Linked DNA regions of Arabidopsis thaliana. The protein of the gene in region 2 interacts with the protein of the main gene of each other region in a pairwise test. Each region holds a gene or a part of one and is shown on either strand. Other genes may lie near its edges.

Region 1 (7,576 bases), on a different chromosome or scaffold from region 2:
AAAGAACAACAGCCTGTTCATGGTCAATTCACATCGCTTAGTAGCATGACCGAGGAATCTCTGTAAGAGAAAAGAGATGGACAAGAAAATTTAGAGCTTTCGAGCTTTTGCATAAGGATAGTTCACCTTTGGAACATTGGCTGCAAGGCTGTTAAGAACAGCTTCAACGTAACCCCGTACTTCTTGGGACATCCACCGGAGCTCCTCTTCTGGATCGATGGGTTTCCTAACCATCTTATCCTGAAATACAGACAAGGAAAAAAACGTAAGTCTCAGAAAATATTATAAACAATAAAAACCTTAAATGTCAAACATAACTTATGTCAAGTTTAAAAGTAGTATCATGCATACCCCATAAACTGAGCCTTCTATAGGAAAAATGTTTCAATAATAAAAATTCGACAATGTTCAATAAAACATAAATAGCTTTGTTTGCTCTTCCAACAGTTTCAAACCTTCCGAAGTGAAGTTTCAAACTTTCTTCATAGTGATAATAAGTAATCCATAAGACTAGTGAACGTATCTAACATAGATTTAAGGAAGAGGAAATGTAAGAAAAGCTGCCCATGAGTGACTCACAAGTGAACCTTCTGAAAGACTCTGCCTCATGGAAACACTGCCCACTTGGCCTCCACGAGCCTGGATAACCTTTTGCAACTTATTAATCCACTCGTTCTTGTCGACTACACTCTCAGCCTTAAGCACAAGGGCATTGTGAGCTGCAACATAATAGTTTGAGGAAAACTCATAAAAGTGCGAATAGAAGATTAAGAAGTTTGAATTCTTATAATGATTGATTTATGTACCTTTGAGTACAGTCTTATAGGGAACCTTGCAGGTTATTTTAAACACAAGGCCTGGTCCTTTTGAATCAGGTCCATTTGCCTTCTTGTCCTTCGAGCTCTTTGACTTTTCTACTTCGTCCTCGGGGATTTCTTCAATAGTGCATTCCTGAGTGGATTAATAAAGTTGGAGGAAGTATAATTAGAAAAACATGGAAAAAATGTTATCTATAGAGTATCCAAATTTCTCATCGATAATAACAGAACTATTAAATATTTGAAGCATAAGCTTCAAAATACACAAGTAATTGTCACTCTCCAAGAAGGAAACAGTGTGGGAGAAAATAACAAGGTGAATACGAACTATATTCTTCTCTAATTCTTTTTTCCATGTCATATCTAATTATAGTTCACCTTTGGCAGAAAATAAAGCATAGGAAGAGAATGGTACCTCCAAAGTTATCGTGCCCCGAAAGTTTCTTTCTTCTTGCTTTTTGGTATAGCCAAGCTAGAAAAAGGTAAACAGTAAAGTCAGTAAGTTCTCAACAACTGAAGAATATACGTTTCAAAATGCTGACCTTTCCAGTTTTCTCATTCAGAACAAACCATCGCCTACTCCACCCATTTGTTTTTGCACTTTTCTTCATTAAGTACCCTAAATGAAAAGAGTAAGTATTTGTTATCTACCTTGGAAGTTAGTTTTGTCAAGTTAGTTTTAAGTGATAAAGAAGAAAAAGACATGAAGAAATCATGCACTTGGACTAAGAGCAAAGCTTTGCAGCAATAAAATCATGCAACGTAAGGAAAGCAAATCGGGAGTGAAAAAGCAGAATGAAACTTTTTAGACAGTAACTGGGTAGATGTATATTAGAATAACAACCTGCTGTTATCTCCCCCTCAGGTCCAGCAGTTTTCAGACCAGAGACCTCCGGCGTCTCTTTATCTTGCGGACTAGGTTTGTCTTTCATTGATTTTAAGCTACCACCAGCTGTTGGCCCATCTGGCTGAGGACTAGTAGCCTGATAAACATATATGTAGAGAATTTCCACATTATATATTTTCATGTAAAACGATAAAAAAAAAAAAAAAACATTTTTCACTACGTATATCCAAATTGATACAGAATGAACACACACCCTGCTTAAAAGGGACTGCTCTGCATCTTGTCCCTTCTTAGAAGATCGCCCTTTCAGCTCTTCCTCGCGACGTTGTCTTTCCATTCTGATGGAGTCAATACAGTGCATCGTCAGAAAGAGAAATAATTTTCAGTCATGAACCATTGAAAATAAAAACAAAAATTGCAAAGAAAGACAAGCCAAAATACCTCCTTTGCACAAGACGGATAAAATGTTGAGGTGGTACAAAAGCGCGTTCCATATCAACTAGTGCAACCACCATTTTCTTGGCTTCATTCTTGAAACCATCAAGTGCTGCACTTGCTATAGCTACAACCTGGTTGATGATTAGTCAGAAAGGAATAACTGTTACCGAAATGATAAAATATTACTGAATAAAGCACCAAAAAATCATTATTACCTCTCGCTTGAAAGGAGGATATCTCCCAAGTCCAGGTGTAGCATTTGCAGAAGCTGAAACTATGTCAACAAGAACTCGGTGAACCTAATCAAAAGTTAAGACCATGTTAGCTCAACACGTAAATAAGACAGAAGCTGGATGCATGAGTTTTAAAGTAGGAACCAAAAAATAGCTACATCTACGGTAAGGGATATTAACTTACTAAGGCTTATAAACCAGAAAACTTGACAGAACTCTAAATAACAGTTCGAAGAATTAAAGTGAGACAAGCCATAGCCAGTTCACAATGCAGTAAATTTCTAAAATTCAATCCTACTGCATGTACCTAAAAAAACATGTAAACAAGCACACCTCATCAACACAAAGGCGTGCCGGGTCTTTAGCCAACTCAAGGACAATCTTTATCAACGATCTCAACCCTTTCTCTGGAGATATAAGATAAGGTTGATAACCATCTGCCTCCAAAACAACCTGAAAATCAAAGATATTTTGACAAATCAAGTCTCAAAACTTGTCTCGTGCAGAAACTTAGGACAGAAGAAGACACCCACCCTTTTAACATTGTTCAGGTCAAAATGTCTATCCAATGGAAGCTGCTTGATACGGTTGGGGAAATTTCCTTCAAAACTTGCAACAACTTTCCAACCACTTCCCTGAACAAGAATCAAAAAGTTTTGAGAAAAACATTTGCCAAGCTCCAAAAGGGACTTCAGCCCATAAACTGAACACAGACAAGTACAAAAACTCTATATCAAACACTCAGTTGGCTTATACACATATTATAAACATCCACTATCAGATTCATGAGATTCCCAACAATATAATGTGCTCTTACCAAGCGTAGGCTAGCAAGAGACTTTCCACTACACTAGTACCAAATCTGAAATGGCTGATTGCTAATATTTGAAGAGTTCTTCTCTCTCACTATATTCTTGAATTTTCGACTAAATCTAGTTAACTTTTGTAAGAATGTACTTACTTCACCACCAGCCAAGTGCAGAAGAAACTTGTCTTCAAACTCACGGCAAAGCTCCAAAGCTATAGCCCTTGTACCTTCAGCACTGTTAACTAGTTGTTCACCAAGCCTCGCTAGCTCATCCTGCACTATTTGAGACTTACCCTGGAGCCTGTACAAAGAATTTGAAAGCCATATGCGTTCAAGCAACCAATGTCATATGCCAACACCATAATAAAAATCATGAAGAAAGCACATATATGGAGAGAAGCAATACCCAGACAGGACACTTGGAAGCCTGAGCTTCATTCTGCTACGAATCTGGCTAGCAAGGGTATCCACCAACGCAATTCTGCCAAGCTTGCTTTGTGGAGCCCCAGTCAAAATGGACTTAAGACTTTCACTCTCAGCACGCCAAGCAGTTTCTAAGGAGTTCTCACCACTTCCAGACTGTGCTGACGCAATTGAAACGGATTGGCCAATAACAGCAACCCATGGAATGTCAGTTGTTTTTGGAGGTCCTTGATTTGAAAGAAGAGCCTGAACAGCTGCAAGGGCTTTCGAGTTCTCTGCTGCCTGGTCAATTTTTCCAATAATGCCTATTGTCCTAGTACCTATAAGTAGGGAGGAGTGATGTTAGCTAATGAGTATTTTAAGCAAACTGAAGTGATAATAGGTAGGTAAATCAACAGTTCTTATCAGGTATACAAATAATAAACAATATTAAGATAAGACAGATCGGAAATACAGATGTACTCACTCTCTGGATCATACTCCTTTGCAATCTTCAGGGCTCGGGATGATGAAATTTCAGATGCCTGGCTAGCAGGCACTATAACCAGCAGTATGGCATCATTGTGTTGCGCGTATTCAGCAATCTTGCAAAGAGACCCAAGAAACAAACAACAATTTCAAAAGGATAAACATGATAATGAATCTATATTATCACTTCAGTAGGAAACCGATAAAAATAGTCAAAATCTTTTGTTTCGTGGTTGTCAGGCAAGTTAAGGATATGACAATGGCATTAAGTAGTTCCAAGCCTCACCATTGACTCGTCCACAATTCTCTGGTCCAGTCCAGGCAGATCAACTAATTTCAATGGTGGAGCTGCAATGTAAAGGGTAAACGTAACAGGTTATGATGGTCAAAGAAAATTTAATACTACGAAACTGTCGGTCATATGTCATATGTCATAACTCATGTTCAAAAGAGTGTGTACTGTTTATGTTAAAGCTCCGTTAGATATTTAATCTGATACCCACCAAAGTAAAGCTAGAAGCTCTAAACTAGTGTACTAGATAGTATATAAGGATAGCAAGATATTACAGCTGACCAGTTCACGGGTATCAAAGATAAATTCATACACCCAACTTAGGTTAGCTAAGGATGTGCTATTTGAAGAGTAGATATAGGCTTGCCACTTATGATTGTGCAAGTAAAAAGGGGCTTACCTGTGCTGGTACGAAGTTTTAAGTTTATTTCATCACGATTCTTCCCTGAGGCTCCTTTGCTAAGTCTATCTTGCAGAGAATGTCTCAAAGCACCTAAAATATACCCATGTAGAACACAATGGAGATATTATGAGAAGACTGATCGAAATTTTTTTATCATAAATGCAGAAAGAGCCTCACATAGCATTGCTAAATTGCATATGTTCATAGATAGAGACTTACTTGCAGAAACTTGTTGAGATTTATTGTCGATTTGCAAGATAATTGCCTTGCTGCTCAAAGAACTCTCCCTGCTCAATTCAATTATTATAGGAGCTCGTGTAGCACCATTCTCACCCGTCGGCTGTGTATAGTAAGTGTAGCAGACACAACAGAGGTCAGTATTAGTATAAGAAAAGGAGTAAGCCAATAATAACCATAGACTCAATGTACAACTTACCAGCACTGGATGCCCAATTAGACTGTTTAGAACTGCAGACTTTCCAGCTCCCTGGTTCAGTATGCAAAAAGAGATAAGTAACAAATAACAAAATACATCAGCCTTCTCCGGCACGAGTCGCTCCTCATGTAACCATATATCCACTAATAAAGAGAATCCCAACAAAACTAGCTATAAACGATGAGTGTGTCCTAGCAAAATTCGATAAAAACCTAATCTAGATCCAGAAGATCCACGATATGGCAATCCAACATACACTCGAACACAGAATAAAACCAGCACGAGCCTAAAGAGAGGAAAATCGAGGAGCGTGGAGTGAGAGCGAGGAACTCACCACATTTCCCAAGGCAACGACGTTGAGGAAAGTGGCAGGGCGCTTGGAAGAAGAGGTTTCGTCGGGATCTTCGTCGGCGAGGAGAGACGCCGCCTGCTTCATCGAATCTGAGAGCTGAGACAACTCATCGATCGCCTCCATCGCGACTAGCAAAAGCCCTCCGCGAATCGAGATCGAGTAACCGATTCAAAGTGAAGAGATCTGGAGGAAGAAGGAAGCCACTCGATTAGATCTGAGCAGACCGGAACCGAAATCGGCGGCAATAGGCGGGGTCTTTCCCGGTGAGACGATGGGCCGGAATTTGGAATCCGGTCGCGATGGTGTTAAGCTAAGATTTTTCGTTGGGGATTTCGTAAGGGAAGGCAGAAATGAGCGAAGACGAGGTCATAAAGAGGACGTACGTAAGATTTCACAATTACACGGGACAAGATTCAAATTTCAAAAGACTTACAAAAATCATATCTTTCTAATTTTTTTCTGATCGGTCTCAAGTGCTTCTTCTTTTTCTTACTTAAAAAAAAAAAAAAAAAAACAATGTGATGTGAAATACACATAAAAAAATAAAAAAAAATTATCAGTTCATTTAACAATTTATCATCTATTAGATCCATTCATATAACATTAGATGATGTTGGAATCCCACATTACTAAATCAATGTGAAGGTTCAAATAAAAATGTAATCAAATGTTGTTGTGGATCTCGTTGTTGTTCATATAGTTCTCGCGACATAATTTACCTCAAGGGAAGGCAAACAAAAAATCTATTCACAAGGTGTAACTATTTTCGTAAACTATTATAGTTTTTTTTTGGACAAACAACCCCTACTAAAATCTATTTGGTGTATGTTTTTTGAATAATTGATCCTACCAACCTAATTTTTTTGAACTATATGTGTTTTTTGTTGCCTGAATCTCATCTTCCCTTCTTTAGAACTGTTGTCTATCATCATACCTTCCAACATCTTAGGACTAGTTTGGCAATGTTGACAATTCTTTGTGATGTATGACAAGTATAATTATAAGGAAAAAATAAATAAACATTGGACATAAAAATCAGAAATTTCCAAGCTAACTATATGAAATTTCTAGGCACATTTCTTGGTTCTTTTGATACCATTTCTTTTTCCTTTTGGACATCTGGATATCATATTGTTTGTTTGGGATACTAGTTCTTCCCAAGTTTTTAATCTTAATTAGCTGCTTTGGATCCTTAATAGAAAAATAAACATTTCATATATTCCGGAAATTAGTATAGCCATCGGTTTTAGATTTTCTGGTGATTAAGATATAAGAAGATATTTTTTCAAATATAATAATGAAAAAACAAAATCTACAAATCATTAAAAAGGAAAAAAAAAATCAAAATTAGAATACAATACATTGTCTCAATACTATAACATAACCAAAAGAAGCATCAATAAATTTTACTAATAGTTAATAAGTACAGAAAAAATCGAAAAATTCTAGAAATGTTAAAAGTAATTTTTTTAAAAATAGTAAGGATATAGAAATTAGATAATCAATAAGTTTGACTACTGGATATCTAGAATTATTTCTATAAAAAAAAAAGTGAAATGTCGGACCAAAGAGTTGACGAGCACTAAACCACGTCACAATTAAACGTGGGCCCTCCGGCCCAATAACTTAAAACCAATAGATTATTCCCATCTGGCAAGATCTGCGGACTTTGAACTCGTTATGCTTTTCGACGTGGAGTTTTAAACTCAATTAATCTAATTAAATTAAGCATAACATTCCAATTAATTTTGTTCTTTTATATATATAAGATCAAAATCAACCACACACACACATAGATTTCAACTGGAAGAAACAAAAGACCAGATTTGTTTATGTTTCTTCTTCTTCTTCTTCCTCTCTGCATGAAATTCAGTTTCTGATCTGTTTCAGTCATCGTTTCTCACTTTCCTCGAAGATTTCCACAGATCCAATTTCCATTTATCCACTTACCTTTTTCGATTTCGTTTGATCCTTGGATTTAATTATATGTTACAAATTTAGGAAATTTCTCGAGGAGATTGAATGCAATGGATTTGTGCTTGAAACAATCAGATTCTC
Region 2 (5,465 bases):
CTTTTTCCTCTATTGCATCAATTGTGTATGTTTCGTCAGTGGTGCCGGGTTGATTCAAATTGGTAAAGCCACATTTGGTGAAGTCTTCAAGGTAAGATGAGAAACATTTCTCGGTTTAATTAAGATCTGGTTCGGTTTAGTGATCTTGAGAGTGTATTTTTTACAGGTTTTCTTTGCATTGACGATTATGGCGATTGGAGTTTCTCAAACGAGTGCTATGGCACCTGATTCAAACAAAGCTAAAGACTCTGCAGCTTCGATTTTCGATATTCTCGATAGTACACCGAAGATTGATTCTAGCTCTGATGAAGGTACAACGTTACAAAACGTTAATGGTGATATCGAATTCCGACATGTTAGTTTCCGATACCCAATGCGACCGGACGTTCAGATTTTCAGAGATTTGTGCTTGACTATCCCTTCTGGAAAGGTAAAAAACAGAGCTTTTTAATTACCGGTTAAATCTGGTTCACCGGTTAATATTGGTTATTGGTTGTTTTTTCAGACCGTTGCACTTGTTGGAGAGAGCGGGAGCGGGAAATCAACGGTGATAAGCATGATTGAGAGGTTTTATAATCCAGATTCAGGCAAGATTTTGATCGATCAGGTGGAGATTCAGACATTTAAATTGAGTTGGTTAAGGCAACAGATGGGTTTGGTTAGTCAAGAACCGATTTTGTTCAACGAGACGATCAGATCAAACATAGCTTATGGTAAAACCGGTGGAGCCACAGAGGAAGAGATTATAGCAGCAGCAAAAGCCGCAAACGCACATAACTTCATCAGCTCATTGCCTCAGGGTTACGATACGTCGGTTGGAGAACGCGGTGTTCAGCTATCGGGCGGTCAGAAACAGAGGATTGCGATTGCGCGCGCGATTTTGAAAGATCCTAAGATTTTGTTGCTTGATGAAGCGACGAGTGCATTGGACGCAGAATCTGAGCGTGTTGTTCAGGATGCACTTGATCGAGTTATGGTTAATCGAACCACTGTAGTTGTGGCTCATCGGCTTACGACGATTAAGAACGCAGACGTGATCGCGGTTGTGAAAAACGGAGTTATTGCTGAGAAAGGAAGGCATGAGACACTGATGAAGATTTCAGGTGGTGCTTATGCTTCTCTTGTCACTCTGCACATGAGTGCAAATTAAGAGACTTTTTGTTTTTGGTTGGAATGAAAGAGAGAATTTTTGGAATTGATTCGTTAATTTTGTCCATTGGAACTCATAAATTTGAGACAAACAGATCCTTTTACTTCGAGCTTTAAAAGCCTCGTACCACACTAATTGAATTCTTTGGGTTTGCTTTCTAACAAAGTGCGTTCCAAATGTTAGAAACGTTTCATTTGTTCCTTTTCTTGTTATCTTCATTAAGAACACTCTTCAATAAGAAGAATCAATAAAACATTTTTTGGAGGTAAACTCTATTTTGGATCAACAAATATGAACAAGAGTAGTAGTTTGTTGGGGACAGGACATAACTGAAACAAAGTTTTCAGACACAAATGTAAGAAAAAATGAAATCTTTGAAGAAGAGACTCAGTAAACTTCAGCAGCAAAGTTGGTAGTGGGAAGTCTCTGTCGCTTCTCAATGTAAGCCATAGGAAACCAACCAGCTTTGCCTTTGCATTCTCCTTCAGCCCAACCGGTTTGGCTCACCTGAGAATACGAAAGAAAAACAGCACACAGAGAGTTAAGTTTCATGCTCTCTCACTACAGAAGTTAGTTCTTTGATACTAGTAAGAAGATGTGAACCTTTCGGACAACGATGTAATCTCCTTTGTCCAAGTCTAACTCTTTCTCTGAAGCAGCGGAAAATGGATGAATCACCTGCGAGAGAACATATATGTTGCTTATGGAGAGTCTTTTTCTTTCTGTGAGATATGCGATGATAATATTACGGAAGATAAAACTTACTTCAGCAAGAAAGTATGACGTTTTCTCTGAGCCGTTCTCTGTTGGAATCGCAGGAGGAGCAGATTCTTTGTGTTGTTTCTCGGTTACCATCTACGCGGTAAGACCAAAAGTGTGAGCCTTTGATGAGAAAAAGATGTGGGAAAGATTCATCCAATACTAACCTCGGCTTCAATGTCACTGAGGATGGCTGCTATTCTTAAGTGATAATTCTTCTCCCCTTCAACCTAGAATAAGCGATAAGGTAAATAGTAATCTGCATATGACAAAAAAATCCAGTGTGTGTGTATGTAAAACATACCATAGCCACAAGCCTCTGGAAAGTGAGTCTATGTTGCTGTGATTCAACAGCGGCTAATGCAGCAGTTGCTTCTTTACCAAGGACTGCCATATTTGCTTTTAGCTCTTGCATTTTTGCTTCCGCTAGTTGAAGCTTTGCTACGTTTTCTGGAATCGGAGCTTCTCTTACACGTGCTTGCCGTCTAGAGACTTCCGTTGCCTGTTTTGCTTTTAAGTTTTAACTTACATTACAAAATAAAATAGCCAACATCATCATAGAACTAAGATCTTAAGATGATTACATGTGTCTCTGCTTCTTGTCTCATGCGGCTGTAACGTTGAGCAAGATGACGAGCATCTTCAAGAGGAGAACCGGCAACCATAGCTCTTAGAGGATCCAAAACCTTAACGGCATTTAACAAAAAGGTTTTCTCTTGTTATCTACTAGATTTAATTCTACGTAAACATACTAAGATTAAACACAGATAATCCAAGCCGAACCTGAGAAGCCAAAAGCTTGTTGAAGTCTTCTTGTTCTTTGTCTACATGTTTCCGTGCATCACCGTATATAGCTGCAGCCTTGGCCAGTATATTCTCATCAATGTTCTGACTATTTTCGTTCCCATACCTACAACAGTCTTCAGACAACTTGGTTCCTGAAATTTTAAAGAATATTAAAAGAAAACTCACAAAAGTATCATAGTATAACTTAATTCAATGATAGGTAACACAAAACAGACACTCATAAGTAGTTAAGTACCTGCTTCAATGTGTCTGAGCCCGATCGTGGTAAATGCCTCAGCTGCTTTAACAATATCTCTCTGGAACTCCTGAAAGTGACAATAACATATGTTTGAGGGTATTGTGCTACGATGAATCATACTGAAACCTTCTCCCCCAACAATGAACTCATATAAAATGTGACAATGCCATTAGGTCAATATCAGTCAAACCTTTGCAGAACGAGTAGAGCGGTAAAGTTTATCGAGTTGATGATGCCTTTGCATTTCAAGCTCATCAATCACCATTACATCTGAGCTTTCATAACCAGTCCCACTGAATTGCTTTATCACAGCCTACATTCCCCATTACCACACATCAATCAACACATCATCACAACCAAGATTGTGTAACTCTATAATACTCAATAATATACAAATCAAAACCCATCAAAAAGTTTCCATTTTTTTTAATCCAAATTAGCAACAAAGAACCTAAATTGAGCTTCGTTTCGCTGAATCGGTAACAGTGAAACTAGTTGCGGCGATGAAAAGGAATTACCAGTTGCTGCTTTGCGACTTGGTCTCTAAGCTTACTCGCTTGTCTTCTAAACGCATCCATTGTCACTTCTCCTCTTGATTTCCCCAAATTGATTCAGAGATACCAAAAAGAGACAAGCTTTAAAGGATTTTGAGTGGAATTGAGAAATCTCAATTAGATCAGAACAGTTTAAAAACTGACAAAGCAGATCAGATCTGATTCAGTAGAAATGTATGTTCTTCTTCGACTCGATGTGTCACTGATTATCCCTCTGAGAAAATCAGTCAATCACAGAGCACACACATCGATCTAAGCGGGTCGGGTCGATTCGATTGATTGAACCAAACCGGTCCGGTCCGGTCTGATTAAAAGGAGCGTTCGCGATTGAATTATTTGGAAGCAGACGAGGCTTTTCTACTAAAAACCTTACGTTACGACTTACGATTATTATTGAGTAATTAATTAAAATTAGCTAAATCCGTTTGGCATAAACTGAGATTAAGTTAATTAAAACTTAAAAGTATAGGTATTAACAAAAAAACTGACATGGACAACTCATAACCACTTGTTATTTGTCCCCACTCCTCCCATATCATTTTGTCCTAACTGCCATTACATAATTATAATCTGAAAAGACAACCTATATACTTTTTCTTTTATTTTATTATTAACGTTGCCTTTCTCAGTATAGTATAGATTCCTACTCTACCGACTTAAAATTTCAGTGAGATATTTCATTAAATTCCATGTTCTTAAAACAGGGTTCTATTGTTGATGTAAACTTAAATCAAATTATAGTCAACCAAAAGACAAATGTATATTGGTATCTAAAGTACTGAATGACAACATTTTTTTGTTTTAATTTATCTATAACACAATCAAGTTGTAAAGATGATTTTGTTTGAACAAACTTTACAAAAATAATCTCTATCCATTATACTATTTCGTTAATAGCTAAATTAGTAAACCAAACGCGGAAAATAAACGAAACAAACGCGGAAACAAAATTACAAGAAGATCAATTAGTGATTTTACAGTTAAAAAAAAGCAATAAAACTCAGAAACCCTTTCACATGTATGTATAAGAAGAATCTAAAACTTTCCCACTTCCACCAATTTGAGTTTTGAAACATTTACGGCTCGACAGAAAAGAAGACGCCATTATATTTTAACAGAGAGAAATCAAAGAGACAAAAGCCACGATCCGCCATAGCTGTTTTTGAGATCGATCCCCACCAAAGGAGCCTAGCCTAAATCATGCCTTCAGGTGCTAAGAAAAGGAAAGCTGCCAAGAAAAAGCAAGAGGAAGAACAACAACAACAAGGATCTTCTACTCTAATCAACCTCAAATCCAACAACCATGGTTTTTAATTCTTTTAACACCCCATAATCTCACTACTACTTTCTTCTTTTTGCCTTTTTCTTCTTGTTGTTGTCTCTCTGTATCTCTCAATTATTCACTCACACCACACACGTTTAGGCCACCTTTCTTGTTTGTTTATATATTTGCTTCGCTTTAAATCTGAGTTTTTTTTTAACTTTGTTCTCTGTATAGTTTCTTCAAGTTTTGATTTTTATGGTTTTGTGCTCATTGATCTAAACAAATGGGTATCTTTTTTACTCTTCTTTGTGTTTTGATTGGGGTTTTAGGCTCACAATTTTGGGATCTCAAGCTGTAAAAATTTGATCTTTCGGTTAATTTTAGCATGTTCTGCTTCGTAATCCATATGGGTTGAATCTAGTTTTCTGTTTTGGACTAAAGGATAGTTTTGTTTATCAGATTCATGATTATGATTGAAGTTGTTTATCATTTGCTGAGTTTTGTTTATCTCTGATGCTTTGGTTTCATTAGTAGTAGCTGTGCCTATTTTGTTTACTAGTATATGTTTCATTCTCTGGATGGTACAATAGTTAGATTTGACTTGAATAGTCAGTGTTAAGTCACTCTGTTTGTGATATTGATTGGATTTGTAAACTGATGTGCTAGATTCGAGAAGCCAAGGTGACAAGGAGA

What was found. The genes of interacting proteins can lie anywhere in the genome.
Region 1: the proteins of AT4G18060 (region 2) and ADL6 interact in a two-hybrid assay, tested with the Arabidopsis thaliana proteins (one study listed by BioGRID).

Annotation. Positions count from the first base shown.
Region 1 is NC_003070.9:3,368,839-3,376,414, reverse strand, and holds the start of ADL6 (dynamin-like protein 6), read right to left. Parts: upstream 6,014-7,576; 5' UTR 5,642-6,013; coding exon 5,501-5,641; intron 5,218-5,500; coding exon 5,167-5,217; intron 5,071-5,166; coding exon 4,950-5,070; intron 4,821-4,949; coding exon 4,728-4,820; intron 4,384-4,727; coding exon 4,322-4,383; intron 4,152-4,321; coding exon 4,034-4,151; intron 3,888-4,033; coding exon 3,551-3,887; intron 3,446-3,550; coding exon 3,298-3,445; intron 2,972-3,297; coding exon 2,870-2,971; intron 2,790-2,869; coding exon 2,670-2,789; intron 2,403-2,669; coding exon 2,319-2,402; intron 2,235-2,318; coding exon 2,107-2,234; intron 2,004-2,106; coding exon 1,919-2,003; intron 1,802-1,918; coding exon 1,663-1,801; intron 1,438-1,662; coding exon 1,361-1,437; intron 1,291-1,360; coding exon 1,234-1,290; intron 952-1,233; coding exon 807-951; intron 720-806; coding exon 580-719; intron 241-579; coding exon 127-240; intron 14-126; and 1 more. UniProt on the Arabidopsis thaliana protein: Microtubule-associated force-producing protein involved in clathrin-mediated vesicle trafficking from the trans-Golgi network to the central vacuole. Able to bind and hydrolyze GTP. Binds specifically to phosphatidylinositol 3-phosphate (PtdIns3P).
Region 2 is NC_003075.7:10,026,131-10,031,595, forward strand, and holds AT4G18060 (SH3 domain-containing protein), read right to left. Parts: upstream 3,904-5,465; 5' UTR 3,533-3,903; coding exon 3,473-3,532; intron 3,268-3,472; coding exon 3,145-3,267; intron 3,022-3,144; coding exon 2,952-3,021; intron 2,848-2,951; coding exon 2,693-2,847; intron 2,596-2,692; coding exon 2,494-2,595; intron 2,412-2,493; coding exon 2,214-2,411; intron 2,140-2,213; coding exon 2,077-2,139; intron 2,006-2,076; coding exon 1,916-2,005; intron 1,829-1,915; coding exon 1,754-1,828; intron 1,658-1,753; coding exon 1,538-1,657; 3' UTR 1,151-1,537; downstream 1-1,150. Other genes in the region: ABCB9 (P-glycoprotein 9), read left to right, coding at 1-91, 167-430, 506-1,150; AT4G18070 (suppressor), read left to right, coding at 4,709-4,814, 5,439-5,465. UniProt on the Arabidopsis thaliana protein: May be involved in the recruitment of DRP2A to the accessory protein complex and in the negative regulation of its GTPase activity.